Linked DNA regions of Canis lupus familiaris. The protein of the gene in region 6 purifies or fractionates together with the protein of the main gene of each other region. This does not show direct contact. Links are inferred from orthologs where the notes say so. Each region holds a gene or a part of one and is shown on either strand. Other genes may lie near its edges.

Region 1 (3,699 bases), on a different chromosome or scaffold from region 6:
GAGAAGGAAAGGAAATCCATTCTGAAGTTTCTTGATCCCTATTTTTAATAAAATGGTTCTTCTGTACCATCTTTTCAAAGCAAATGACTTAAAAATCCTTGTGCCAAATCTGGAGATGCAAGCACAGTGGCATTGGTCCCGGGCACCTTCCTATTACACTGTGTGGCCGTTGTTACACAGCCAGGACAATAAAACACAAATTCAATATGCATTTCAAAAGGCGAATAGAATCTCCGGATTGAAATCCCCACCCCAGTCACTGATACAAGAGCCAGTCTCATGCTTAGAATCATATCACTTGTCTCTGCAACCTAATGAAAGGAATGAGCTGCAAATGGCCACCTCTTGTGTTCGTTTTTAAATGAAATGATTTCTTCATGGACAAGTCTCATCAACTCTTCTACGCAAAAACCCACTGAATAATTGGCTAAAAGGTCTGTCATTTACCAAGCAAGGCATATACTATATTTGAAGATGCTTGCTCACTCTGGCTCTTGATTTGCTTTATTCAACCAAGAAACTGGAGGCCTAGGGTGGTAGGGCTGAGAAGGAGGCTTCACTGAGGGGAGACTCAGCAGGGGAAGGTGGCCCAGGTAACCTTCAAGCCCTCGAACTCTGGCAAGGATTGCACAACTGGGCCTAATTTTCTCCTCCAGGGGATGATGCATCCCTGGGGAGAAGAGGCTCTGGGAGGTCAGGAGAAGGCTGACTAGGGAGTCAAGGCAGCTTCCTGTCCCTGCGGACCCACTTCAGACCTCATTAGACCTCATCTCTGGTAGGAAAGTAAGTGGAGATGGTAAGCTACAGGTCCTCCTGCCAACAGGCTCAGTCAGGGTCACAAGAGGTGACTAACCCAAGGCACGGTAGCTGTTCCTCAGTGCAAGGAACACCTTTTCTCCACTTAAGAGGTGTAAAGATGCTCTGTCTACACAAACAAAACCAACAAACATGTAGCTTCATCTTTTTAAAAAAAATAAATTTAAAGATTTTTTTGAGAGAGAAAAAGAGCAAGAGAGCACAAGGAGGGGGAGGGGGAAGGAGAGGGAGAGAGAAGCAGGCTCCCACTGAGCAGGGAGCCCCTGCAGGAGGGCTTCCAATGTAGTTGGAATGAACTAGAAGGTAAATTCCCTGTGAGCAGTCATTCATGTGTCTTATTCACCACTGCACTCTGGGCCTGGAAGAGTGCCTGGCACTCAGCAAACTCTGTGTGTTGAGTGAGTGCCTGAGACAGACCTAGGCTCTGCTATCATGGAATTCATGGTGTAAAACAGCTTGCTGTTCAGCTGGAGCACAGACAAGGGGCCAGGGTGTCAGGTCCTGGTCCTGGTCACCAATGTGCTACGTAACCTGCACAACATACCGGGCTCTCTGGGTTTGAAGTTAAATAAGTGCATTCAACAAAATGTTCTCTAAAAAGTTCTAGTTACAACATGCTGTACTTCTCATATCTGACAATGGATCTGCTAGCAATTTTTTTACAGGTAAACAGTGATAAAAGGTGTTTGAAAAAATATTAAAAAGACAAAATCAGGTGCGTAATTGGCTCAGTTGGTTGAGCGTCTGCCTTTGGCTCAGGTCACGATCTGTGGGTCCTAGGATCGGGTCCCAAGTCCTGCTCAGCAGGGAGTCTGCTTCTCCCTCTGCCCTTCCCCGCTACTGCTTGTACTAGTTCTCTCTCTAACTCACTTGCAAAATAAAATCTTAAAAAAAAGAAGAAGAGCAAGTCCATACTCCTTGGGTATTTAAACTCTAGTGTGTAGAAAGCAGAGCATTAGGCAGACAAACTAAACAGATACATATAAAATCCCCAGTTCTAGGAGTGCGTGGATGGGGCAGTATGGGTAATATGTGGGTGGGATCTGGGGTCGATTCCTGAGCTATGATTTAAGAGGCAAGGTGTGCGGTACAAGAGGCATATGGCACCCACTTACCAGCCAGAATACCCCAGAAGTCCACACTGCCCACAGACATCAACTTCAAAGGCATCACTTGAAATCATCAATCTCTCTAGTAGGAGCATGCTGGCTCCGTAGCCGATTAAACAGTCACGTTCCATTTCTCCAAGACGCAAACCGCCATCACGAGACCGACCTTCAGTGGGCTGCCTTGGAGACAAATCAGACAGATGTGTCATTATTCTGCTGAACCAACAAAGGGCAGCATCCCGTCCTGGCCAAGCACACGAGGCTCCAGAGCAGGCTCACCTTGGTTCAAATCATTCACGGGACGGTAACCTGAGGAGCTGCTCAGCCTGCCCCTCAGCCGCATCTGTACAACATAGGATGTAAGGCTCCCAAAGAGCCATGGGAGGACAATACTAGTGGCTGCTACTGTTATTAAGTGGTAGTAAGAAGTCATATTATGTGATGGAATAATAAATCAACATATCATCATACTACCACCATCATGATACCGTTACTGTTATTGTCCTCACATCAGGGAAGAATGTCTTTGGAGTATTTTCAGAGATGTTTCAGTTCTGTTGTCTGAAAGTGGAGAAACTATACAGAAGAGAGCGTGGAGGAAGCCTGGGTCCCCCAGTAGTTGTTGGGGCTCCAGTTACTGAGAAACAAACATGGAAAGAATCAAATGGATTTTTTTAAAATTTGGAATAGATCAGGAATCACATGGAATCAGACACTGTCTGAGCTGTCCTTCATGTATGAACATGTTCCATTCCTCCTCAGACGGGGGTGAGCTGGGAGCTATGAGTCCCCTGAAGAGCTTCCCTGTGGCTTATGTATCTGCCGTGCTTGGGAATCCTTCAAAAGGATTCCAGGGTGCAGGGACAATCAGGGGATTCTGAAACAGCACAGGCAGCCCTAGCCAGGTAGTGCTGACACAAACTATTAAAAAGGAAAAGAGAAAAAAAAAAAACAAAAAAAAAAAAAAGAAAAGAAAAAATTGAGCTCCCTGGCTAGTTGATTTTTTTTTTTAAAGATTTTATTTATTTATTCATGAGAGACAGAGAGAGAGAGAGAGAGAGAGGCAGAGACACAGGCAGAGGGAGAAGCAGGCTCCTAGCAGGGAGCCTGACGTAGGACTCCATCCCAGGTCTCCAGGATCAGGCCCTGGGCTGAAGTTGGCGCTAAACCGCTGAGCCACCAGGGCTGCCCTGGCTAGCTGATTTTGTTTTGTTTTGTTTAATTTTTATTTATTTATGATAGGCACGCAGTGAGAGAGAGAGGCAGAGACACAGGCAGAGGGAGAAGCAGGCTCCATGCACCGGGAGCCCGACGTGGGACTCGATCCCGGGTCTCCAGGATCGCGCCCTGGGCCAAAGGCAGGCGCCAAACCGCTGCGCCACCCAGGGTTCCCTCAAGCTTGCTTTAGATTTAAAAAGGTAAACAGGGCGTATGCCAACCCATGCTGAAATTTTACCTTTTGTTGTTGCCAAAGTTATATTGGGAGCTCAATTTAAGTTGTAGATTATTCTTTCAAAGACAATCTACGTGTGAAAAACTTACAAATGATCAAAATGAACACACTGTAGTGGAAACTTCATCACTGAGCACAAGGGCTGTCTTTATCTGCTGACAGAATACCTGGGATAGGAGAGGAGTCCCTCCATCTGTGGCCATTGGACAAGTGAAGGTGGCTAGATCACATGTGGGCAGAAACCAAAACTTGGATTAAATCAATCAAAAAAGTGGGCGGACAAATGCACCCCTGGTAGTCTTCCCACAGAATGCACAGAAG
Region 2 (4,221 bases), on a different chromosome or scaffold from region 6:
GCACCTGCCTTCGGCCCAGGGTGTGATTCTGGAGACCCGGGATCGAGTCCCACATCGGGCTCCCTGCGTGGAGCCTGCTTCTCCCTCTGCCTGTGTCTCTGCCTCTCTCTCTCTCTGTGTCTCTCAGAATAAATAAATAAAATCTTAAAAAAAAACAAAACAATCAAGGGACTCAGGGAAGGCAGGGAGCGAGAGGGCTGGCAGGAAGAGGTCAAAGGAGAGGGAGCAGCTGTAGGAATGTCAGAAGAAGGGCGTATCCACCAGAGGGTGCAATGTGTGCAAAGGCCCTGGGGCTGCACTTTGCCTGCTGCGTTGGCTGCAGGAGGCCCCGGGGGAGGGGGGAGGGGAGGTCAGAGGCTGTCGTGGGGCAAGCCTGGGGCACACCTGGGAGGCCTCGTTGATTGCCTTGAAAAGCCGGGGTTTTCCTTTGCTGTTGCTGCATTTCAGCTGAGAGATGGGGGAGGGGGAGAGGAGGGAGAGGGCCACAGATGGGGGCTCACGTCGGCGCCTGCAGTTCTGAAGGTGGAGGGTTTGCAGTCGGACAGGATGGACAGGATGTGGAGAAGGGGCAGGACGGAGGAGCGGAGCTGCCGGCCCAGGGCGGACAGACTAGGGAGAAACGGGTGTAGACGGCAGATAAGAAAAAACGGGCTGGCGGAGGGGGTGCCTGGGGGGCTCCGTTGCTTAGGCTTTTTTTTTTAATTCTCGAGAGACAGAGACAGAGAGACAGAGAGAGAAAGAGAGAGAGAGAGAGGCAGAGACACAGGCAGAGGGAGAAGCAGGCTCCACGCAGGGAGCCCGACGTGGGACTCCAGGTCTCCAGGGTCACGCCCTGGGCTGCAGGCGGTGCTAAACCGCTGAGCCACCCGGGCTGCCTTTCTTTTTTTTTTTTTTTTTTTTAAGACTATTTACTCCTGAGAACCGCTGGGGGAGAGGCAGGCTCCTGCGGGACCCGATGCGGGACTCGAGCCCACGATGCGGGGATCACACCCCGAGCGGACGCTCAGCCACGGAGCCACCCGGGCGACCCGAGGCTGCTGCGCAGTAAGGCGGCGGCGACGCCCAGCAGCGGGATGCGTACCTGGTGGGGGGCCTGACAACATGCCCTGCGCCCCGGGGAGGCGAGCTGACCGCTGACCCCACCCTGGCCTCAGTTTCCCCGCCCACACCTCGCCTCCGCCCTTCCGGATTCCAAACTCCCCACCCACACGGGCATCGGGCGGAAACCACAACTCCCGACAGGCCCCGCGGCCGAAACCCCGCGACAACTGCCGAGGCGAGAGTGGGCGGTCCCGTTCGCTCGGCTCTGGCTCCGCCCACCGCCGCTCGCAGAAGGCCCGGGCTGCCCTCGGCGCTGCCGCCCGCGAAGGTCTCTGGAGTCCGGCGTTCGCTGTGGGCAGCCCCGCGCGGGGCTTGGCAGGGCTCGGCGCAGGCGCAGTCAGCGCGGGCCCCTGCCGCGGGCTCAGGCGCGCGGGTTGCGAGCGGCGGCCGCCATGGACGACGAGGAGGAGACGTACCGGCTGTGGAAGATCCGCAAGACCATCATGCAGGTGAGCCCGCGCGGTCAGGGCGGCGGCGGGCGCAGCTCGGAGCTTCCGGGCGCGCTCGGCGGGTGCGTCCCGGCCTCTGCGGCCCCTTCCTGTGCGGTCCCCACGCGCTCGGAGGCGCCGGGCCGCGGCCCTGTCCGTCCTTCTCCGCGGTGACGTCATCCGGCCGCGCCCCTCCCGCCCCGCCCTCTGAGCCCGGGGGTCACCCGGCTGGTGCTCCCTGCAGCTGTGCCACGACCGCGGCTACCTGGTGACGCAGGATGAGCTGGACCAGACGCTGGAAGAGTTCAAGGCCCAGTTTGGGGACAAGCCGAGCGAGGGGCGGCCCCGGCGCACGGACCTCACGGTGCTGGTGGCCCACAACGACGACCCCACCGACCAGATGTTTGTCTTCTTTCCAGGTGAGGGTCGCGTGGGTCCTGGGTGGCTGCGTGACCCCTAGGAGTCCGCAGCCCTCGTGCAGCCATCCAGGGACGGTGTCTACACCCGCCCTCCCGAGTGCCCAGCCTGCTGCGCACGGTGCCACGGGGTGCTGATGGGAGCCCTGGGTTCTGTTCCCCGCTGACTGTTCGTTCAGTGCAGCCGGATTGTCGCAGGCCTCCCGGGGGGCCCAGCCCCCTGCCCAGAAGCAAGGGCGTCGGAAACCTTTGCAGGAGGGACCCTCCTGGTGCTCGTGCAAACAGCGTCCCCGTGTGTGGGTCGGCCTGTGGCAGGGCCCTCCCTGGAGTGGGCCCGGGGCGCCCGTGTGCTCCAGTGGGCCACAGAATGGGACTGAGCGGCCGTGCTGGTCCACCTGGACCGCCGCGACTGGGCGCCGCAGACCGGGCGGCTTCAGCAGCAGCCTGACCTCTTCCGGGGCTGCAGGCAGGACGTCTGAGACCAGGGTGTGCACGGGGCTGGGTCCCCCTGAGGCCTCTCCCTGGCGTGCCGGTGGCCGTCTTCTCCATGAGTTCCCGAGGTCGTGCCTCTGTGTGTCTGTGCTGTTGTGTCTGACTGAGGTCCATCCTGACAACCTGGTGGAATCTCCTCTTTAAAGACCTCAGTTCCAAGTACGGTTGCACCCGAGGTCTCGGGGGTTAGGATTGTAACACGGGGATTCCGTGGGAAACAGCTCAGTCCCTGACGCTGCCCGTCAGGTGAGCAAGGGTCCGAGGGGAGTGCTGTGATGGGGCAGATGTGGTGCACCACACGCACCCGTCCTGGCAGCAGGCACCCAGTTGCTCACCTTCCACCAGGCTCAGAGGGTCCCGCAGGTCTTGGCCCCTGTACTGTGGTGAGCGTGAGGGTTCCCACCGTGGCTGTGCAGGGAGGGGGTTTGGTCCTTCAGGTCAGCTGCTTCATCTGGGGATTCCAGACATTGCACCACGTAGGTCCCCAGATTCAGCTTCCAGGGAGGGATCCACCAAGTGGGTAGATGCAGGGCACCCATCAGCTCCGTGGGGGCTGGGGGGGAGGACTGGCACCCTGGTGGGTTCCCTGGGGCCCTAGAAAGAGGGAGCTGGTCCAGAGAGGCACTGCTACACCTTGGCAAGGTCAAGCTGGAGCCCGCGCGCCTAGCAGGGTGGAAGTGAACGAGCAGGTGAGTGAGCAGGGCCCTTGGGGCAGGAGGGACTCTTGCAGTGTAGACCTCGTGTGTTCTGTCCCCAGAGGAGCCTAAAGTGGGAATCAAGACCATCAAGGTGTATTGCCAGCGGATGCAGGAGGAGAACATCACCCGGGCCCTCATTGTGGTACAGCAGGGCATGACTCCCTCCGCCAAGCAGGTGGGCACGCTGCTCGTGTTGGCCGCACGTCCTCATGGGCCCCAGGATCTGGGGATCTGAGAAGGAGCGGCTCTCCCGTGTGGGCAGAAGCCAGAGCAGGGAGGTGCCCTGCATGGGTGCCAGCATTCCTGTGGTTAACAGGTCCGAGGAGGGGCTGCTGTTTGGGACGGAGGGCCAGCTCTGTGCGCTCGTCCCTGCAGGGTTCTCTACGTCACACCAGCACAGGGACAACTGCAGGAGCATTTTGTTAGGTGTCACAGTTTGTGTCGGGTGGTCTCTTCCTCCCAGAGGAGCCTTACTGACCTGACACGTGGGAACCCCCTTTGGCTCCCACCTGCCCTCAGCCCCTGGGAGAGGTGGGGTGGCGGCGTCTTGGGCCTTGGCTGTGCGTGAGGGTCAGCCTCTCTTTCAGTCCCTGGTTGACATGGCCCCCAAGTACATCCTGGAGCAGTTTCTGCAGCAGGAGCTACTCATCAACATCACGGAGCACGAGGTGAGGGCCTTAGTGGGGGTCTGCGGGAGGGGAGGCTGGACGGCTGGTGAGGTGGCACCTGCCCGAGCACAGGGAGGGCCTGGGGACGCACCAGGTGCCGCTGCTCCCACTTTGTGGGGAGGAGGAAGCAGAGCCGGAGTCTCAGTGAGGCCCTGGGCACTTGCCAGGTGTGCAGTCAGGCAGCTGGGGGGCAGGGGGTGGGGTCTGTCCAGGGGCCCCTGCACTCTCCAGGTTATACCCCCCCAGGCGCCTGCAGGCCATAGCTCCTTCCCCCCAGGCGTGGAGTCAGGAGCAGGGTGGGGTGGCAGCTGGGACCCTTGGGTGGATGGTTGACTCCAAGGAAACAGCCTGTGGCGCTCTGCTCCCCTTTCCCGTGTGGGGGCGCCGTGGGGCCTGTCACACCCACAGACTCAGTTTC
Region 3 (3,750 bases), on a different chromosome or scaffold from region 6:
CTGGATTCAAGGTGCTAAAACGTATTTCAGTTTATTTCATAGTTTAAGCTTCTCTTTTCTCTCCTGAAAACTGAATAAAAACATACACGCACAAAGCAAGAGGGGATGTGACCTCTTAAAGTACACTGGCTACGGGGGCACCTGGGTGGCTCAGTGGTTAAGCGTCTGCCTTTGGCTCAGGTCGTGATCCCAGGTCCTGGGATCCAGCCCTGAGTCAGGCTTCCTGCTCAGGGGGGTCTGTTTGTCCCTCTCCCTCTGCCACTCTCCCTGCTTGTGCTCGCTCACTCATGCTCTCAAATAAATAAAATCTTAAAAACAAACAAACAAACCACTGGCTGAGAAACGTGTCACAATTGCATAAGAGCCTATTTAATAAAATGCTTTAAGCTGCTGACAGGCACTTACTATATTCTGAAATAACGAGGCAAAAGATACTGCAACTTACAGCTACGTTGTTAAGAATTTAGTTCATCAGGCAGTGACAGCAATTTATATGCAGTAATAATAATAATTAGCAGTAATAACAAAATAAGACAAGACAGGAAGGTTTGAGAAGTGCTACTGAATCCGTGATGGAGGGAGAGGGAGCGAGAGAGTAAATGTTTAGTTCCTGAGCAACTTACAAGTTTTAATCTTATGGAAACCACAAACCTGTAACGGATCTTTACTTCCACATTCAAGGAAGGTCGGAGTCACATTCCCAACCCTCCGGCAAATGACAGGGCGTTTCAGCTTGAATTTTATGCAATCCCCTTACTCCAGACTTCATCATCTTGTTTTTTTCTTTAACCAGTATTTTCCCTGTGATTTGCTTTCTTGATCTATTTTTGATGTCGTAATACTGTACGTTTCCCTCTTTTTTAAGATTTTCTTTATTCACTTATTTGACAGAGAGAGAGAACAGGGGGAGGGGCAGGGGGAGAGGGAGAAGCAGGCTCCCCGCTGAGCAGGAGCCCCCATGCAGGGCTCCATCCCAGGACCCCGGGATCACCTGAGCCGAAGGCTGATGCTTAACCGACTGAGCCACCAGGTGCCGTGGATGTTTCCTTCCAAGCTACTCAAATACGTCTGGAGCAACGTATGGTACGTATATGTGTAAGTGAGTGACTGAATAAATAATTTTTCTGAATCTACTATGTGCCCATGATTAATGCTTTGAATGATTTCACTTAATATAGCAAACCGGGGGGCATCCCTGGGTGGCGCAGCGGTTTGGCGCCTGCCTTTGGCCCAGGGCGCGATCCCGGAGACCCAGGATCGAATCCCACATCGGGCTCCCGGTGCATGGAGCCTGCTTCTCCCTCTGCCTGTGTCTCTGCCTCTCTCTCTCTCTGTAACTATCATAAATAAATAAAAATTAAAAAAAAAAAAAATATAGCAAACCGGGATATAAAATGAAAGGAAATAACATATACATGTTGATATGTTTTGAGAAGTATATAATTAGATATTAACACAAATATTATATATTTATTAGAAAGCATAAGGCTACATTTTGTTGATGCAGTTCTTAGCATCAGCTAGTTGTCTTGCAATTGTTCTTAAACTACAATATAAGATTCTTAGCCAACTGAGAAGCCTTTATTGTAATCAAGAAATCTAAAATTGATAAACTTTGGGAAAATACTCTCTGCACAGAAAAACTTGTCAAGTTCCTACAGGAATGCATTAAAAATAGCTCCCTTCACATAAAGACCTGGAAGGAACCTCGGTGACTAATTCTATTTATTAGTCTAAAACAAGCTATGAACATTCCTCTTCATAGAAAGACATTTCTCTCCTAACTTACCTTTTCTGAAACAGAAGCAAAACCTTTAGTTGGATGCTGTGTCCTCATATCAAAAACATGAAATTTTCCTTCCAGTGACGTAGCTACCAATTTATTCATACTTATGTCTTTTCTGTCAAACTCCAAGCTGCACACCTGAAATAGAAAATACGTATTATTGATGGTCCAATGACTGTTATTCAGGAGGTTCTTTTAAACTAAGTCAAACAGTAAAATTATCAGTTCATGTGAAAGCATTTAAATAATCACTATATCTTTTGAGATCAATCTGGAAACCCATGGGATCTTTTACTGTTTTCATGTAACTTTATTTTCTACCGCCCAGTCAAAGCTGATTTTAAAAAACAGGAAGGAACCACATTCTTCACTAAAGGTCTACAATTCACGACCCCCAAATCTGAAAGTACTTGGGGAGGCTACTACTGTTTCAGGCTTTCCAGTATTAGCAGGCACGGGGCCCGTTACCACCTCACTTCACTATCACACGGCCTCGCCCACGGGGGTCCACACACAGGCCACGGGGGCTGGTGGCCACCAGGGACTGTCACAGCACATCTCAACGTGTGCTCACTTTCTGAAGAGAGGACCCCTGATGAGAATCATTAAATTCTCAGAGGGCTGAACAGCCCTGAAGGTTCAAAGCCATGGGCAGGGGGCTGCCCGAGATGAGCCATGAGGGGCGCTCTCCTTCTAAAGTAGTTCGGAGGTGGACAAAAGCACGCTCAGACCACCCACACAGAAGCCAAGTGTACGTTACCCCATTTTTTATGTTGGTCTCCCACCGCAAGGACATATTTCTCAGATCAAACAGTTTGATGTCGCCATTGTCATAGCCAGCACAAACAACACGCTCCTCTTGATTGTAAGCATTGCCTGGAAATCAAGACGCATTGCGGGTCTTTAGGAAGGCTCGTCTGAAGGCTGCTGAAATCACGTCGTAAAACACACATATAACTGGTACCAAATCAGACCAAAAAACCCACAAGAGGCCGAATCTCGAGTTGCCAACCCCGACGGGACGTCAGGATTATTAGGCTGGCTATCTGATACTGGTTTTTGAGTTTTTGTGTTTTTTGTTTTTTTTAAAGCCTCCCTTGCTGAGGTTCTCTAGTGAAGGGCTGACCGGTGTTCACCGGAGTCTACGTGCAAGCGCCCTTCCTTCTCTGCCCGACCCGCACGCGGCCGGGTCGGTTATGTCCAAACACAGCAGCTTTGGGTAGAAGAACTACAGCTGTGCTACGGTTGCTTTCTCTGGCAGCAACTACATTTGGACGCAAATAGAAACAACCTGAAAACTCCTTCATTTTACAAAATGTCGTCTGGTGTTCTCTTTGCACGGAAATAAATCTGAACTGGTTAAGTTAACACACTGTGATCTGTGCGTAGTTGTAGGAACGATCACAGCTGCAGTAAGACTGTAACCTGAGGTTCAACTCCTCCTGTGTGGATCCGGGGGTGCTTCTGGAGGACCTCTGGCCTCCCCTCTCCCCGCCACACACCACCAATCTGATCTTCCTCAAGTTCTGGTCACATCTCATCCCCACAAAAACTCTCAAAAGTTCACCTCCGCCTCCAACCATCTAAACACTCCTGACTTTGGAAAGGCTACTCCCGCCACGGTTTCCTTCAACATACGTTCTTGGGCACATTTCAGGCTATTCCCCAGGCTTGACATTTCCTCCCAACTTCAGTGATTCAAATACTATATATACTTGGCCTGGGGTCAAAATGTTCTTCCTCCATAGCCACCTGCCCCTCGAGATGCCTTCTATATTCATCCACACCCCTTGTCACCTTTTATCATTCCCGCCCTGTACCATCAATAGCGTAGACGTCATACCCTCTTTACTAAACTATAAGCTTCTTGAGGCAAGACTGGGAATCTCTCACCTCTGCATGTTCACACTGTTCTGCATGTACCTGACATTCATAAAAGAGATCAATTGTTTCTCAAACTTTAT
Region 4 (4,485 bases), on a different chromosome or scaffold from region 6:
TGAGACTAGACACAGGGCATCTCATACCCCATGCCCACCGTGCCCCAAATCACCAGCCTGCTTACCTGCCACCAGTGTCATCACCTCCCAATACACACCCTGCAGGACTGTTCAAGGATTAGCAAGAAGCTCAGAGAACTCCAAGTCCGGGCCGGACCTCACCACAATGAGCCACAGAGCCTGGCTGCCTTGCACAAGATCTGTGCCCTTGGGAGGCCTGGATGGGATCGTGTCCCACATTGGGTACCTGCATGGAGCCTGCTTCTCCCTCTGCCTGTGTCTCCGCCTCTCTTTGTGTGTCTCTCATAATTAAATAAATAAAATCTTAAAAAAAAAAAAAAAAAAAAAGATCTGTGCCCTTGGCCAGACCACAGACCTCTTCTGTGCAGCTTCCTCTCAAATGATTCTAATATAAAAGACTCGTCTGAACAGGTCCCTGAAGGACCCATACCCCAAAGGGCTACATTCCCTTCTTGGACTTTTAACAGCTTTTTTTTTTTTAATTTATTTATTTATGATAGACACAGAGAGAGAGAGGCAGAAACACAGGAGGAGGGAGAAGCAGGCTCCATGCCAGGAGCCCGATGTGGGACTCGATCCCGGGACTCCAGGATCGCACCCTGGGCCAAAGGCAGGCGCTAAACCGCTGAGCCACCCAGGGATCCCCTTTTTTTTAAACAGTTTTTTTTTTTTTTTTTTTTTTTTTTTACTTTTTTTACCTTCTTGGACTTTTCACACCTTCTGTCACCACTATGCTCACACTTCATCCCTCCACTGACCCCCTCTACCTTCTACCTCACAACGTAACTGGAAGCCAATCACTAAGGACTTCATGAGTTCTCTCCACCAACAGCTGCAAACAACTCCCTTCCATGATCTCAGCCTCTATCTACAGAAGGGACTGGCCTCCTGTCTAAAGCCAGCCAACCTTCCTCTTGCTCCTTCTCAGCCTATCACCTCCTGCTATTCTACAGATGGAAATCAATACTGCCATGACATCCTGCAGGCCCCATGTGGTTTGGCTCCTGCCACCTTTCCAGCTTACTCTCCTCTCTTCCTCTCCAGGCCACACCAGTCCTCCTCCAGGTTATGATGGATGAAATATTCCCTCCTGCCACAGGGCCTTTACACATGCAGTTTCCTTTGCCTGCCCAACTCTTCTCTCTGCACAGCCCTTTCCCACTCTCAAAAATGAATCCCCAGGGTACCTGGGTAGCTCTGTTGGTGAAGCATCTGCTTTGAGCTCAGGTCATGATCCCAGGGTCCTAGGATTGAGTCCCAAGTCAGGCTCCCTGCTCAGCAGAGTGCTTCTCCCTCCCCCTCTGCCCCCCACCGTGCTTGTGCTTTCTCTCTCTTTTTCTCTTTCAAATAAATAAAATCTTCATTTTTTAAAAAGATTTTATTTATTTATTCATGAGACACAGAAAGAGAGAGAGAGAGAAAGAGGCAGAGACACAGGCAGAGGGGGAAGCAAGCTCCCTGCAGGGAGCCCGATGTGGGACTGGATCCCAGGACTCCAGGATCACGCCCTGGGCCAAAGGCAGGCGCTAAATTGCTGAGCAGTTTAGTCAGGCATCCCAAAATCTTCATTTTAAAAAATATATATATTTATTGGGACACCTGAGTGGCTCAGTGGTTGAGCGTCTGCCTTTGGCTCAGGGCATGATCCCAGATTCCTGGGATCGAGTCCCACATCGGGTTCCTTGCATAGAGCCTGCTTCTCCTCCCTCTGCCTGTGTCTCTGCCTCTTTCTGTGTCTATCATGAATCAATAAATAAAATCTTAAAAAAAAAGATATATTTAACAGAGAGAGAGAACGCGTGCGCTCCTTGCATGGAGCCTGCTTCTCCCTCTACCTCTGTGTCTCTCATGAATTAATAAACAAAATCTTAAAAAAAAAGAAAAGAATAAATCTCCTGATGGTTAACTCTATTTATTTGCGAGACAGAGACAGCGCAAGAGAGCATGAGCAGGGAGGAGAGGGAGAAGCAGACACCTCACTGAGCAGGGAGCTGAATGTGGGGCTCAATCCCAAGACCCTGCGATCAGGAGCTGAAGGCCGATCCTTCAGGGACGGAGCCACCCAGGGGCCCCTTAATGATGGTTAACTCTAAACCACTGTCCATCTTCACAGACACAGTGTGTGACAGCCATCATTATTTCCATTTTACAAATGGAAGCTGAGGCCCAGAGCGGGTAATCCAACAGGGTGCAATCTGGCATTTCCCCAGTTTCTGTTTTGACTCCAACATCCCACGTGCAGGTGAAGTAACTGAGCTCGGAGAAGTTAAGCTACTTGTCCAAGGCCAGGGTTTGGCGTGACCGGGGAGGCCTGCAGCGGGCAGGAGGGCAGCGCTGGGCCTCCCGTGCCAGGGCCTGTCAGCGACCCCGTGGGCCCCCGGTACCTTGTTGGCCAACTTTTTGTTCAGCTCCTCGGCAATGGAGTCGTTGAGCTTCCTCTCAAACTGCCACGGGGGGATCCGCACGGTGTCCACCATCTCCACCAGGACGAACATCGCGCCTGCGCCGGGGCCCTGGGGGCGGGAGGCTCAGTCACGCGCCGTGTGGGGCGGTGGGCGTTCCCGAACCCCCTCGGGCGCGTCCCCGCCGCTGAGCGCCCCCCACGCACACACCCAGGCCGGCGGAGGGGCTGCGCGGTGCGGCGCCGGGTACCCCGTGCGGGGCGTGTGCAGCCTCTGCAAACTGAGGAAACTGAGGCTCAGCAGGAGACGCCCTCGCTCCAGCGAGAGAGCGCGAGCACCCGCCGCACGACCCGGTCCCGCCACGCGCCACGCGCCGCCATGCACCGCGCTCCCACGCGCAGCCGACTTCGGGCGAGATTCCGAATCCCGTCGCTTCCGGAGAACAGACCAATAAGAAGCCTCTGCCCGCCCCCCAACGCGACGCGGCGCGACGTAGGGCGGGGCCTCCCCGTGGGCCCCCGCGGAGCCGGCCGCCCTTCGACCGCGCTTCCTGGTTGCTAGGCAACGTGGGCGCGATCCCGACCTCACCTGCCCGGCGGGGCTGTCGCTCTTCCTCTCCGTCCCGGGCGGGGCGGTGCGCTGCGCCCGGCCAGAGGGATCCTCTCAAAAGCCGGCACAGTTTGCTTAGACCCCTTCAGGACCCTGGAAGCGGGAGATTTATCTGGAAAGGAGCAGGCGGGACCTTTCTGGGGTGATAGGAATGTTTCCTATCTTCTTCTAGGGGGGTGGGTTACACAGGTGGGGGCCTGGCAGTCAGTAGGGCATGCAGCTCTTGTTAACAGGGTTGTGAGTTCAAGCCCTACATTGGGCATAGAGGTTACTTAAAAATAAAATCTTAAACAAAAAACAAAAAACAACGCATCAAACTTGACAGTTAAGATCGTTGCACTTAAGTAGGCAGATTACATCTCAATTGAAAAATGATCATTGGGGATCCCTGGGTGGCTCAGTGGTGGCTCGGCGGTTTAGCGCCTGCCTTGGGCCGGCCGAGGGCGTGATCCTGGGCTCTGGGGATCGAGTCCCACATGGGGCTCCCTGCCTGTACGGAGCCTGCTTCTCCTTCTGCCTGTGTCTCTGCCTCTATTTCTCTCTGTGTTTCTCATGAATATATAAATACATAATCTTAAAAAAAAGAAAGAAAAGAAAAGTGATCATGAATTGGACCAAAAAACAACCCCAGTACCTTCCCACTAAATTAATAATAAAGTCTGATACTTTGAAGCACCTGGCTGGCTCAGTCCATGGAGTGTGGGATGATCTCCAGGTTGTGGATTCGAGCCACACCTTGGGCGTAGAAATTACTTAAATAAATTGAGGCTCCTGGGTGGCTCAGTCAGTTAAGCATCTGACTTCAGCTCAGGTTATGATCTCAGGGTCCTGGGAAAGAGCTTTGTGTTGGGCTCCCTGCTCAACATGAGCAGTGTGAAGTCGGCTTCTCCCTCTCCTTCTCCCCACCCCTCCCCCCTGCTCGTGTGCTCTCTCTAATAACAAATAAATATCTTTTTTTTTAAGATTTTATTTATTTATTCATGAGAGATACACAGAGAGGCAGAGACACAGACAGAGGGAGGAGCAGGCTCCATGCAGGGGGCCCAATGCAGGACTCCATTCCAGGACCTGGGGATCACGACCTGAGCTGAAGGCAAACACTCAACCACTGAGTCACTCAGGCGCCCCAATAAATAAATATCTTAATAATAAATAAGTCCAGGGATCCCTGGGCGGCTCAGCGGTTTGATGCCTGCCTTTGGCCCAGGGCCCGGTCCTGGAATCCCGGGATCGAGTCCCGCATCGGGCTCCCTGCATGGAGCCTGCTTCTCCCTCTGCCTGTGTCTCTGCCTCTCTCTCTCTCTGTGTGTGTGTCTATCATGAATAAATAAATAAATAAGTCTTTAAAAAATAATAATAATAAATAAGTCCAAAACCTTTATGGTAGCTCACAAGGCCCTGAAGGATCTTGCCTCTACCCACACCACCCATACCCCTACTCACAGCCCCATTT
Region 5 (3,750 bases), on a different chromosome or scaffold from region 6:
TAAAATCTTTAAAAAGGTCTGGGGGGGGGGGGCGCAGGGGCACCTGGGTGGCTCAGTCGGTTAAGTGGCCAACTCTTGATTTCAGTTCAGGTCGTGATCTCAGGGTTTTGAGATGAAGCCCCACACCGGGCTCCATGCTGGGCATGAAGCCTGCTTAAGATTCTTTTTCTCCCTTTCCCCCTGCCCTTCCCCTCACTCAAAAAATTACAGTGATCACAAATCTCAGTTTAGATGGTAATTTTTTTAAAATTTTTTTAATTTATGATAGTCACACAGAGAGAGATGAGAGAGAGGCAAAGACAGAGGCAGAGGGAGAAGCAGGCTCCATGCACCGGGAGCCTGACATGGGACTCGATCCCGGGTCTCCAGGATCGCGCCCTGGGCCAAAGGCAGGCGCTAAACCGCTATGCCACCCAGGGATCCCCAGATGGTATTTTTTTTTTTTTAAAATATTTTATTTATTCATGAGAGACACAGATAGAAGCAGAGACATAGGCAGAGGAAGAAGTAAGCTTCCCTTTGGGGAGCCCAATGTGGGACTTGATCCCAGGAACCCGAGATCACAACCTGAGCTGAAGGCAGATGCTCAACCACTGAGCCACCTAGGCGCCCTAGATGGTATCTTAACCTCTTTTCTGATTGAATATTCTTAAGAGCAATTAATGGAAAATATAGTTCATAAATTAGACAAGAGGCTCTCGAAGAATTAAAAACAGACACGAGGGACACCTGGGTGGCTCAGCGGTTGAGCATCTGCCTTTGACCCAGAGCATGATCCTGGAGTCCCGGGATCGAGTCCCACATCGGTCTCCCTGCATGGAGTCTGTTTCTCTCTCTGTTCCTCTCTCTCGTGTCTCTCATGAATAAAATCTTAAAAACAAAACAAAAACAAAAAAACAGACATGAAATGTGCATCTGCCTCATTTTTCTTTGTTAAGTAGCTCCCCCAAATCTATACGATATCATAACTTATCATTTTTGAGTTAAAAATAGGTCATTAAAAAAAAAAATAGGTCATTAAAATAACTGAATAACAAAGGATAATACTAAATTATTCTGGAATGTAGTTTGTGAAATGTCCAGAGTATTGAAATCACAGAGTGCTTAAAGGAGACTGTCATCTGCTTGTACCCACAACTAAAAAATAGACAAGACGGATCTTCAAACCTTGAACGACTCCACCATGAACTGAGAATCAACAAGAAAAACTCCACAGACTCGGAACTCCCACTGTTCCAGCTGTTGGACCAGCTGTTTCATCACAGGCAGGTGCGTATACAACTCAATCTGACCTACAAAAGAACATGACAAGATTAATATAAACAGGAAATATATAGTCATCAAACTACATGTAAAAAAATTTCCCACAAGATGGTTAAAAAAGGGGAGTCAAAATTGAGTGCTACAAAGATGTGTGTTTTTTGGGAATATTCATCAAGCTGTATGCTTAGGATGTATGTGCTTTTCTGTGGGTTCAATTAAAAGCAAGGGAAAATACTTTCTCTTTAAAAAAAAAAAAAAGTGGGGGGGTGGTACCTGGGTGGCTCAGCCAGTTAAGCGTCCGACTCTTGATTTAGGCCCAGGTCATGATCTCAGGGTTGTAAAATTAAGCCCCGCGTTGGGATCTACACTAGGAACGGAACCTGCTAACGATTCTCTCTTGTGTGCGTGCATGTGCTCTCTCAAAACAAAAATATAAAAATAAAGTAAAATAAAAGCAAGGAAAATTAAGTGAGAACCACAAATGATCACAGGTCAGACTCAAGTCTAAAACTCACAATTTGGCTTAAGGAGTTGTGTGTGATCTGTCCCCTATCAGCCTCACCTCATGAACTTCCCCTGGGTTTTCAGTACTTCGGCTACCCTGGACTTCTTGGTGTCCCAAACCCACCTCATTCCTTCCTGCCTTGAGGCTCCTGGCATGTTGTGCCTCTGCCTGGACCATGGTATGGTCTCTCTCACCTTCACCCCCCAGCCCAGCTTACATACTTGGTCAGAAGCCTCCTAATCTTCTTGCTATATGATGATGGTTGGTGCTACTCCTGTGGAGCACCTATCACAAATCAGTATTAAATAATCACCTAGGAGATTTTGTTCATTCTGTCTAGCACACTCACTGTGCTGCCGACTCCATGAGACTGTGAGCTCCATGAGGGCAAAGACCACAGCTGCTGGGGTCTCTATGGTATTCTCAGCACACAAACTAAGCACTCAGTAAACTCAAAGCCAATAGATAAGAGCTTTGGGCCTCACTGCAATCTAGTTAAGAGCTACAAGGCTCAATCCACTTTCTCTCACTGAGGACAGAACTAGTACAACTTCTAAGAAAATGTCATATTCAAATTACTGACTTACCTGGACAGTCAAAAAGGATGTAGTCATCCTCTACATGGCCAAGGCAGTTCTCTAGCCAGTCAAAATTATTGGCAAAGTACTCCATGCAAAATACCAATCCTCCATTGGGACCAAAGCGGAGAGAGTCATCCTCCATGACATCATCCACCTCAATCAGTTCCCGAATATCTGCAAAAGATGGGGCCCAGGATCTAAGAACAGCCATTCAAAAACTGTTGTCCTCATTAGTGATAGTTAACAATTTATTTTTTTTAAGATTTTATTTATTTATTCATGAGAGAGAGAGAGACAGAGGCAGACATAGGCAGAGGGAGAAGCAGGCTCCATGCAGGGAGCCCGACGTGGGACTCGATCCTGGGACTCCAGGATCACTCATTGGGCTGAAGGCAGGCGCCAAACTGCTGAGCCACCCAGGGATCCCCAATAGTTAACAATTATATAAAAACACATGTGTGGGATGCCTGGGTGGCTCAGCAGTTGAGTGTCTGCCTTTGGGTCAGGACGTGATCCCAGTCCGGGGATTGAGTCCCGTATCAGGCTCCCTATGAGAAGCCTGCTTCTCTCTCTGCCTATGTCTCTGCCTCTGTCTCTCATGAATAAATAAAAATAAATAAATAAAAATAAAACACATGTGTGAAACTATTTCTGTACATGATTATTCACTGTAGCAGTTTGTAGGAACCAATTAAATTATTAAACAGCCAGACAATGGAACCCTACGTAGCCATAAAAAGGAGAAGCTCTCTTTTTTTTTAAAGATTTATTTATTTATTCATGATAGACATAGAGAAAGAAAGAGAGGCAAAGACACAGGCAGAGGGAGAAGCAGGCTCCATGCAGTCCTCCAACGCAGGACTTGACCCCAGGTTTCCAGGATCATGCCCTGGGCCAAAGGCAGGTGCTGAACCGCTGAGTCACCCAGGGATCCCCCAAAAAAACTCTTTAAATATGGGTGTGATATAATCTCTCAAGTATACTTTAATTCATTAATTTGAGAGAGGGTTGGTGTGCGTGCACATGAACAGGGGGAAGGGGCAGAGAGAGAGGCAGAGACTTTCAAGCAGACTCTGTGCTGAGTATGGAGCCCAACCCAGGGCTCGATCTCACAACCCTGAGATCATGACCTGAGTTGAAACCAAGAGTTGGACATTTAACTGACTGAACCACCCTGGCACCACATCCTAGGTATACTTTTAAATGAAAAATGCAAGGTGCAGAATTCTGTGTAAAAAATGCCATCATGGGGATCCCTGGGTGGCACAGTGGTTTAGCGCCTGCCTTTGGCCCAGGGAGCGATCCTGGAGACCCGGGATCAAATCCCACGTTGGGCTCCCGGTGCATGGAGCCTGCTTCTCCCTTCTGCCTATGTCTCTGCCTCTCTCTCTCTCACTGTGT
Region 6 (3,750 bases):
CTAATACCCTTCCTTTAAGGTCGAGCTCTGTGTCCACTCCCATCCCAGAAACACTCTTTGGGGACAGGGACATGGCTTATGTTGCTCATCACTGCCACACAGAGAAGGGAGCTGCTAGGTAGGTACTGAACAAATGGATAAACGTGGTGCGTGCCCTGGGCTCATCTGTAATGGTGCCCATCTCTGCCCCACACAATTCCCAAGGGCAGGGACAGTGTAGGAATGACAGTGGAGCACAGGACACAGAACAAGCAATCACGACATAGTTCGTGAACAATGTGTAAATTTTGCATCACCTCCACACAGAAACAGAAGGGACACGGCAAGAAAGGGGCGCCACCCACAGGCCACAGCATGGCAGTGAGGGCTTGCAGCAGGAGCCGAAGAACCGGGGAGCCAGAAAACACACAGCCCCAGAGGCCCCATGTCCAGGTTACAGGGATGGACCCCAGGCTGAAAGGGCAGAAGCACCAGGGCCACAGGCACTGCTGGGCCAAGAGCTCAAACCCCAGCTCCGGGACCACCTTGCTGCCAGATGTTTGGCAAGTGTCTGCCTCTCTGGGTCAGTGTCCTTGAGTGAGGGGACGGCCCCTCCTGGCTCTCACCCATTCGTAACGTAAATATACCTGGGTGGTCCCACTTAATGAGGGATGTGCCATCCAACATCCAAAGACCTTCCATAATCAAACACGTGTGTGGCACAACAGCTCCAACTACTGACAGACACTGGACAAGTTTACCAGTGCAAGGGCGCCACCAGGTGGCAGTAACGTGAACAGACTCTACAATTCACTTGGCCAACCAGCTGAAATGACAGGAGCTTCTGCAAGGAGTTAAAAAATTTGGAACAAATTTTTAAAGAGATTGTTCACCTTACACCACACCTTCTAAAAAGTGAGCCCTTACTAGTGTACCTAATGTCACACTATTTAAAATAAATATAATTCAGGGCACCCCCAGTGACTCAGCGGTTTAGCGCCGCCTTCGGCCTGGGGTGTGATCCTGGAGACCCGGGATTAAGTCTCACGTTGGGTTCCCTGCATAGAGCCTGCTTCTCCCTCTACCTGTGTCTCTGCCTCTCTCTCTCTCTGTCTGTCATGAATACACAAATATTTTTTAAAAAATAAAAATAAAAACATAATTCAGACATACATGAAATGCACCTACACTTACTACCAAGGGTCTGAGATATGCTAAGCATTATACTGAGTGTCAGGGACACAAGGTAGGGGTCAAAATAGAAGTCCCTACTACCCCCATCCCTCTTGAAAATAATGGTCTGGTGGAAGGGTCACAGAAGAGAAACTACTGAAAGGCATCAAGCCACATGCTCCAAACCCCACGGGACACATGAAACAAAACTCACACTCAGATGCATCTTAATGAACTGTGGAAAGCCACAATAAGAGAAAATCTCAGAAAGAGCCAGAGGGGACCAAGGGACTCATCACTAGAAACAATGGGAATGAGAACACAATGAAACTATGTCAGTGTGTGGAAGGGAAACCATCAACCTCGAATCCTACACTCAAGAAAAATATCTTTTAACAATAAAGGTGAAGGGCAGCCACAGTGGCTCAGCGGTTTAGCACCAGGGCGTGATCCTGGAGACCTGGGATCGAGTCCCATATTGGGCTCCCTGCATGGAGCCTGCTTCTCCCTCTGCCTGTGTCTCTGCCTCTCTCTCGGTCTCTCATGAATAAATAAATAAAATCTTAAAACAAACAATCAATAAAGGTGGAATAGATATTTGCAACCAAACAATACCCAAGTAACTCCTCCCCCCTGCAGATCTTCTTTAAGGGAACACCCCGGCAATTTTTGGCAGGAGGTAATTATCCCAGATAGAAACTCAGATGCAGAAAGGGATGATAAGCAAAATCAAAAAGAAAATATGTGAAATCTGAAGAACACTGACTGGATAAAATAACATCTTGTGGATTTTAAACTACAATTAAAAATATAGAAATAAAAAAATAGAAATACAATGGCACATGAGTTGAGAGGAAGATAAACAGAAAGCATTCTAAGGTCTCTGAATTGTACTGGATAAGAATAAAATACAGCCATTAATATAACTATGATCAGTTATGAATGCACTCTGAATCTGTAGGCTACTCACTAAAAGAACCCAGAAAGGGTAACTTCTAAATTAGCAGGGAGAAATGGAGTAACAAAAAAGGATCAAGTAGCAGGTAAGAATGGATATAAAATGCAGGACAACCAGTGCTATGGTAGACTTAAACCCAAAACATCAGTAATCACGAACTGAAATGCATCAGATGGTCCCATGCAGAGGAACTCACCTCTTCACCACCCAGTTTCCCTGGACCAGCATCGCCACCTTCTGGATGCCACGCAGAACAGCCACAGAGTCGATGGAGGGGCCTAGGAGGCTCATCAAGTTGGCAAAAGGCATGACCTTCACTGAGGAGGACACAGATGTCAGACAAGCGAAGGGGCCCTTCCTTCTCCCTCACCAAGTCTATACAGCTTCAGGCTCATGTAACCACTCCAGCGTGTGAATAACACTGACACATGGGTAATAATAAGAGCTGACTTCACTGGCTGCTTGTGTGGGCACCCCACCTTACTGAATTCTGGAGGAAACACCCCAAGGGGTGCTCCTTAAAGGTAAGACTACTACGGGGTGCCTGGCTCAGCTGGTAAAGTCGTGACTCTTGATCTCAGGGTCATGAGTTCAAGTCCCATGTTTGGTGTGGAGTGTACTCAGAAAAAAAAAAAGGTAAGACCATGACTCCTGGGGCCCAAAAAGGGCCCGGGGAAGGCCTGTTGGCAGCGAGGGCAGTGGCCTGGCACCCCAGCAGCCCCAGGCAGAGCTGGGAGCTCGCCTCTGCTCAGGCACCTGGAGATCCTAGAAGTGGTATCTCAGGAAAGGAGCCCAGGGCCTGGGATTAAGCTCTGAGGTTCAGGACTCACCCTACCCTACAGGTTCTGGCCCCCAAGTCCTCTGAAAGACACCAGTCCCTACTGGGTGCAGCCTGGTGCAGGTACCACAAAACAGTGCAAGGGAACGAATGGAGCTCATGTTCACGTGCAAGGCTCTGTAGAAGCCATGAAGAAGCCTCATCTCCGCCCTCAGGAGCTATCCTAGTTCCCTAGTCTCGGGAACATCAGTGGCCTGCCCAGGCTCACAGCAGGGCAGTGGCCCAGCCAGAACGAGAACAGGAATCAGAGCCTGCTGAGGGAGCCCAACAGGCCACTGTGGTGCATTCCTTCTAGGCAAGGCCAGAGCCGTCAAGCCAGGCCCATGCTGAGTCCTTAGTCTGTCCTAGAGTCCATTTCCCCAGGAGGTGGTAGGGCTGGGTTCCCCCTGGAGGAAGTGGGTGTCCACCCACCATTCTTCATCAAGATCTTGATCTGATCAGCCAGGGGCAAGGTGCGCAGCTGGGCCATGGACAGGACGTTGCTGGGGGCCACGGGTTTGTCTCTGGTGAAAACAGAGACAGTGGGTTAGAGGAGAGGGTAAGAGGAAAGATTTGGGGTGGGGAGGGTGGCATCTGGCCCAACTCTACTCACTTCTCCTCTTCTGGGCTGGGTGGCATCAGCATCATGAGGTACTCACTGCAGTGGGGGAGAGGGCAGGGTCAGCCGCTCCTGGGCTCTGCCTGCTCCACCCTTGCCCACAAACCCAGACCCCACCAAGGCTGAGGCCTCCCAAAGGAGGGCTGGGGGTAGGTGGCAGACCCACACCCACCAAGACCTAGCTCCCCCACAACTTGCAGAGAA
Region 7 (4,463 bases), on a different chromosome or scaffold from region 6:
GTGGGGATGGGGTTGAGGAATAGGGAAGAGGAAGCAACATTTGAGCTGGCTGTTGAGAGAAGAATAGTTTGCTGGATGAAGAAGAGGAGGAAGGCAATGTGTTATCACTATGTCCTGTTCTGTGACTGGTAAGAGGTATGGTGTAGCTGGAGTACAGGTGCAGTGATGAGGGCTGGGTATCTGGTTGTAGTTTGGATGAAGGACTAGATATGAGAAGGATCCTCACCTGCTTCGCACCTGGGCTGGCTCCACATCGAAATAGGGTCTCAGGATGTCGATGTTGGCATACAAGCTGAAGGCCCTGGAGGCTTGTCTCTTCCCTGCCTGCCACATCTGCAGTAAGGAAGACGGAGTGAAGTGGGTAGGTACTGCGAGAGGTTCTTGGCCATAGTCCCTGTCGCTCACTTTCTATTGGCCTTCTACACAGTTCTAATGGGTTAGGCGACATGGGGGTGAACTTTAACATCAACTCCAGCACTTGGGGGCCTTCCTAAGTATACTTTTCCACCTGCTAGGGATCCAATCCTGCTTACCTGATCTGCCACTTGCCGGCTCAGCTGTCCCTTAAAGCCCTTCATGCCCAGGAACTCCCCATCCTCTTCTTCAGCAGCAGCTGCATCAGCATCTACTTCTTCTTCACGCAGGCGCTGATGCAGTTCACCCATATCCTCAAAGCTGGAGCCTGAGGTATCATCCATGTTCTCCATGTCAATCACAGCTGAGCCCCCACCCTGTGAAGACAATGGCTTCTAGAGTGCAGGCCCTTTCTGTTCCATCCGCGGGTCCTCCTCCGTTCCTCCCAGGATTTGGGACTTTGTTCTTCCACTGCTGGGGATATGGCTTGGAATCACCATAGATCATACCACTCTCTTCCCCTCATCTGCTCTCAGAATCCTTGGTTGTCTGGCTCTCTTTTCTAGCCTGGGAAACCTACCCCCTGTCTTGCATATATGTCTTTCTTCTACCTTCCCTATCAAATCCTCAGAGGGCTGCAAAAGTGCCCGTTTTGTCTTTTCCAATCCCCAAACAAGGCTGTGCACACAGCATGGTTTTAGCCAGCGCCGGTGAATACCGCCCACTCCCTCGCCATGCCTGGCCCCGATCGACCAACAAACTTGTCTCGAAAGCAAGAGCAGGCAGGCCCAGAGGCACGAGGCCCTCTGGCTGGAGCACCAGTCTGGACCTTTGAGGTCAGCACCAGTCCCACTACCTTCCGTGTACACCAAGAGCCAAAGGAGAGGACAAGTGTTGCAAATGGAGCAGACTTCCAAGCTCCCAGGGAGAGTCCCCGCGACGCTTCAGGACGGCTGCCGGCCCTGCGGCTGCCGGCAGCCGGAGCCCTGGGGCGATTACCTGGATGTTTTCTTCGAACCCTCCCCATTCCGGGCCGGCCCCGCTTCGGGCGCCGCCAGCCGGCGCCGCCGTAGTTGCCATGTCCCTCGAGGGCTCCCGTCGCTGAAGCCCGCGCTAGTCCCGCGCGCGGAGGAGGAGTGGGAGAGACGTGGGCCTGAAGGAGGGAGATGTCTAGGGGCGAAAAAGAGCGGTGGGTTCAGCCGGAACGCAAAAAGGAGAAACCCGGATGTTTGGCCCAAACCGACTTCCGGAAGCTGGGGACGTGGACGGAGGCTGCACAGAATCTCGCGATATTTAACATCCCGGGAGGCGGTGCGTTGCCATGGAGACGAAGGAGGGCGACTGGGACGCGCGCGCCAGTTTGCTGCCCTAGTCACGTGGAGGGGTAGAAGATGGCGGCCGCCCAGGCGGTGCAAGAGATGCGGACCCGCGTGGTTCTAGGGGAGTTCGGGGTTCGCAATGTAAGCCCGTGGCCTTGAACTCGGCAAGAGAAATGAGAGTGGAACAGGAGGGATGAGTTGGGATCGGAGTTGGGGCGGGTTTGCCCTACCTGCCCCTTCGCAGACTCGTCTCTCTTTGGTCTAGGTTCATACCACCGACTTTCCCGGTAACTATTCCGGCTATGATGATGCCTGGGACCAAGACCGCTTCGAGAAGGTAGGTGGGGCTGGAGAGGGTATTGGGAACGGATCGTGTGATCTGAGCGGCCTGTGCTTTGGAAACTGCCCGTGGGATTCGCTGCGTTCATAAAACGTTTATTGAGCAATATGCTAGGCCCTCCGTGTACATGGTCTGTGCCCTGTTCGTCGAACAAGATGTTTAATCTTGTTGAAGAGCACGCATAAATGACTCCAGTATGATGTAAAGGTGGTTGGTAGCGATAAGAAAGGACAGTCGTGACTAGGGTGACCCCTGAGGGGCACTTAATCTGGAACGGAAAGCGGGGCAGCGGTATGGAAGATTTCCTTCCTGCAGGAGATGACATCTGAATTGAGCCCTGAACGATGAGTAAAATCTGAGAAAGGGTAAGGGTGAAGGTGGGGGGACGAAGACTAGAAGCTACATTATAAAGGCTTTGTGAACTGTGTTCCAAGAACGTCCAGTTTATTATTGCTAGAATGTAAAGTCGGGCAGCATGAGTGCTAGGCAAGATTGAAGTGCATCTTAGACACTGTAGGTGATAGGGGAAGTTTTGAAGAGCTCTGAGCCAGATGTGATCTGATTTGCATCCTTAACTGTTGGGAAAGATCATAGAGGGTAGTCAGATTTGTGACAGAATTGCATAGAGGAGCTGAGGTTGAAGGTATGAACTAAAATGATAATCAGGAAAGTAGAGCAAAAAGGAGACATGATAAATTTGGTGACTGTTTTGATGTGGGCTGTGAGGAGGGAGTATAAAATAACCTACCTTGAGGAACTGCTTTAATGGATGGTGGTGCCATTTACTGATGAAAAATAGGTCTGGGGAAGGGGAATGATGCTGCATTGTTTCCTGAATGTGAGGTCTAGCAGGCCAGTAAAATGTGTGTTTGAAAGGAGATGAGAAGTGAGAATTTGGGAGTTTTCTGTATATATAGTTGTTAAACCCATGAGCGTGATTGAGGTCACTTTGGAGAGAGATAAAAATCCAGAAAATAGTGACTTTATGGAGTGGGTAGGAGATAGTGAATTTAGAAGGATTCATTGGAGGAGAAAGAACCAGAAGATTGGTGCTCAGAAACCAAGGCAGAGTTGGAAAATGGAGGGATTCTATCAATGCCCGATGGAGGAGTCTAGTAAGAAAGGACAGAGTAGAATGGTCTCTGTGGGTGGTCTGGTTGGAGGATTTAAATGAATAGAGGATAAAAATGGGAACTTTTCAAGAAGTTCATGAAGAATTGGGGGAGAAGGGAACAGCTATGAGGTACATCTGGCCAAAGGGAGGTTCTTGGGTGAGTGGGAACATTGTTGCTGGGGCTGGGGGATATCCAGAGGGACGGTATTGATTCCACAGAGGCCAAGGCTTCATTTAGTGCATTTTCTGTCCCTGTAGAATTTCCGTGTGGATGTAGTGCACATGGATGAAAACTCATTGGAGTTCGACATGGTGGGAATTGATGCAGCCATTGCCAATGCTTTTCGACGCATTTTATTAGCTGAGGTATTTATTGGTGGGCATGGTGGCAGGGACGGAGTTGGGTGGAAACTGAGCCATCACCTTACTTGGAGAATTCTTAGGTTGCTCCTTTCATTTTCCTGAGCATTCCTCCTGAACTTTTCATCAGGTGTTTTTCTGGGAATAGGGCCCCCTGTGTCAGGAAGTAGGAGTAAATAGGGAGTCTGTAGGGTCTCTGTAGATGAATGATTTTATTTTTTGGGCAGGTGCCAACCATGGCTGTGGAAAAGGTCCTGGTGTACAACAACACATCCATTGTCCAGGATGAGATCCTTGCTCATCGCTTGGGGCTTATTCCCATTCATGCTGATCCTCGTCTTTTTGAGTATCGGAACCAAGGTCAGCGCTTGAGAAAACGAAATTGTGGCAAAATGGGAACAGCTGTCTCCTAAAGTAGATTCTAGAGGATCTACTGCCTACGTTCAAATCCTGGCTTGATTACTGTGACCATGAGCAAATCACTAATGTTTTGGTACATCAGTTCTGATCTGTGTGAACACTTGCCCTGGTCTTCTGAAATTGGAAATTTGTCCGAGGAGTAAATGAGAAGTGTAGATTAATGCACTCAAATACTCAGTCGTTCTTTAAGAGCTGCCACTTTCATCCTTTGTTCAGGGGATGATGAAGGCACAGAGATAGATACTCTGCAGTTTCGGCTTCAAGTCAGGTGCACACGGAACCCCCATGCTGCTAAAGATTCCTCTGACCCCAATGAACTCTATGTGAACCACAAAGGTGAGTGGTGGTATGGTGAGTAGGAAGGCCCACCTCTTGATGGGTACTAGTTTTAAGGATTGATGTTTTCCTGATGTGCTTTCTCCAGTGTACTCCAGGCACATGACATGGGTGCCCCTGGGGAATCAGGCTGACCTCTTCCCAGAGGGCACGATCAGACCCGTGCATGATGATATCCTCATTGCTCAGCTGAGGCCTGGCCAGGAGATTGACCTACTCA

Evidence for each region.
Region 1: the proteins of POLR3E (region 6) and POLR3B purify together in Homo sapiens (affinity purification with mass spectrometry; 8 studies listed by BioGRID and IntAct, counting the BioPlex papers as one, with this or other methods). This does not show direct contact. The link is inferred for Canis lupus familiaris from reciprocal best matches to the Homo sapiens genes POLR3E and POLR3B.
Region 2: the proteins of POLR3E (region 6) and POLR2E purify together in Homo sapiens (affinity purification with mass spectrometry; 5 studies listed by BioGRID and IntAct, counting the BioPlex papers as one, with this or other methods). This does not show direct contact. The link is inferred for Canis lupus familiaris from reciprocal best matches to the Homo sapiens genes POLR3E and POLR2E.
Region 3: the proteins of POLR3E (region 6) and WDR92 purify together in Homo sapiens (affinity purification with mass spectrometry; 3 studies listed by BioGRID and IntAct, with this or other methods). This does not show direct contact. The link is inferred for Canis lupus familiaris from reciprocal best matches to the Homo sapiens genes POLR3E and DNAAF10.
Region 4: the proteins of POLR3E (region 6) and POLR3H purify together in Homo sapiens (affinity purification with mass spectrometry; 9 studies listed by BioGRID and IntAct, counting the BioPlex papers as one, with this or other methods). This does not show direct contact. The link is inferred for Canis lupus familiaris from reciprocal best matches to the Homo sapiens genes POLR3E and POLR3H.
Region 5: the proteins of POLR3E (region 6) and GPN3 purify together in Homo sapiens (affinity purification with mass spectrometry; 3 studies listed by BioGRID and IntAct, counting the BioPlex papers as one, with this or other methods). This does not show direct contact. The link is inferred for Canis lupus familiaris from reciprocal best matches to the Homo sapiens genes POLR3E and GPN3.
Region 7: the proteins of POLR3E (region 6) and POLR1C purify together in Homo sapiens (affinity purification with mass spectrometry; 5 studies listed by BioGRID and IntAct, counting the BioPlex papers as one, with this or other methods). This does not show direct contact. The link is inferred for Canis lupus familiaris from reciprocal best matches to the Homo sapiens genes POLR3E and POLR1C.

Annotation. Positions count from the first base shown.
Region 1 is NC_049231.1:33,258,537-33,262,235, forward strand, and holds part of POLR3B (DNA-directed RNA polymerase III subunit RPC2), read right to left. Parts: intron 2,106-3,699; coding exon 1,932-2,105; intron 1-1,931. UniProt on the Homo sapiens protein: Catalytic core component of RNA polymerase III (Pol III), a DNA-dependent RNA polymerase which synthesizes small non-coding RNAs using the four ribonucleoside triphosphates as substrates.
Region 2 is NC_049241.1:58,128,414-58,132,634, forward strand, and holds the start of POLR2E (DNA-directed RNA polymerases I, II, and III subunit RPABC1), read left to right. Parts: upstream 1-1,416; 5' UTR 1,417-1,493; coding exon 1,494-1,550; intron 1,551-1,773; coding exon 1,774-1,948; intron 1,949-3,194; coding exon 3,195-3,310; intron 3,311-3,722; coding exon 3,723-3,803; intron 3,804-4,221. UniProt on the Homo sapiens protein: DNA-dependent RNA polymerase catalyzes the transcription of DNA into RNA using the four ribonucleoside triphosphates as substrates.
Region 3 is NC_049231.1:68,510,836-68,514,585, forward strand, and holds part of WDR92 (WD repeat-containing protein 92), read right to left. Parts: intron 2,663-3,750; coding exon 2,547-2,662; intron 1,925-2,546; coding exon 1,790-1,924; intron 1-1,789. UniProt on the Homo sapiens protein: Key assembly factor specifically required for the stability of axonemal dynein heavy chains in cytoplasm.
Region 4 is NC_049231.1:24,684,028-24,688,512, reverse strand, and holds the start of POLR3H (DNA-directed RNA polymerase III subunit RPC8), read right to left. Parts: upstream 2,850-4,485; 5' UTR 2,634-2,849; intron 2,535-2,633; 5' UTR 2,517-2,534; coding exon 2,406-2,516; intron 1-2,405.
Region 5 is NC_049247.1:8,512,737-8,516,486, forward strand, and holds part of GPN3 (GPN-loop GTPase 3), read right to left. Parts: intron 2,524-3,750; coding exon 2,356-2,523; intron 1,293-2,355; coding exon 1,168-1,292; intron 1-1,167. UniProt on the Homo sapiens protein: Small GTPase required for proper localization of RNA polymerase II (RNAPII). May act at an RNAP assembly step prior to nuclear import.
Region 6 is NC_049227.1:23,570,119-23,573,868, forward strand, and holds part of POLR3E (DNA-directed RNA polymerase III subunit RPC5), read right to left. Parts: intron 3,586-3,750; coding exon 3,541-3,585; intron 3,452-3,540; coding exon 3,360-3,451; intron 2,428-3,359; coding exon 2,307-2,427; intron 1-2,306. UniProt on the Homo sapiens protein: DNA-dependent RNA polymerase catalyzes the transcription of DNA into RNA using the four ribonucleoside triphosphates as substrates.
Region 7 is NC_049233.1:12,166,094-12,170,556, forward strand, and holds the start of POLR1C (DNA-directed RNA polymerases I and III subunit RPAC1), read left to right. Parts: upstream 1-1,654; 5' UTR 1,655-1,745; coding exon 1,746-1,814; intron 1,815-1,938; coding exon 1,939-2,010; intron 2,011-3,385; coding exon 3,386-3,493; intron 3,494-3,714; coding exon 3,715-3,847; intron 3,848-4,123; coding exon 4,124-4,243; intron 4,244-4,331; coding exon 4,332-4,463. Other genes in the region: protein YIPF3, read right to left, coding at 227-333, 534-731, 1,354-1,434. UniProt on the Homo sapiens protein: DNA-dependent RNA polymerase catalyzes the transcription of DNA into RNA using the four ribonucleoside triphosphates as substrates.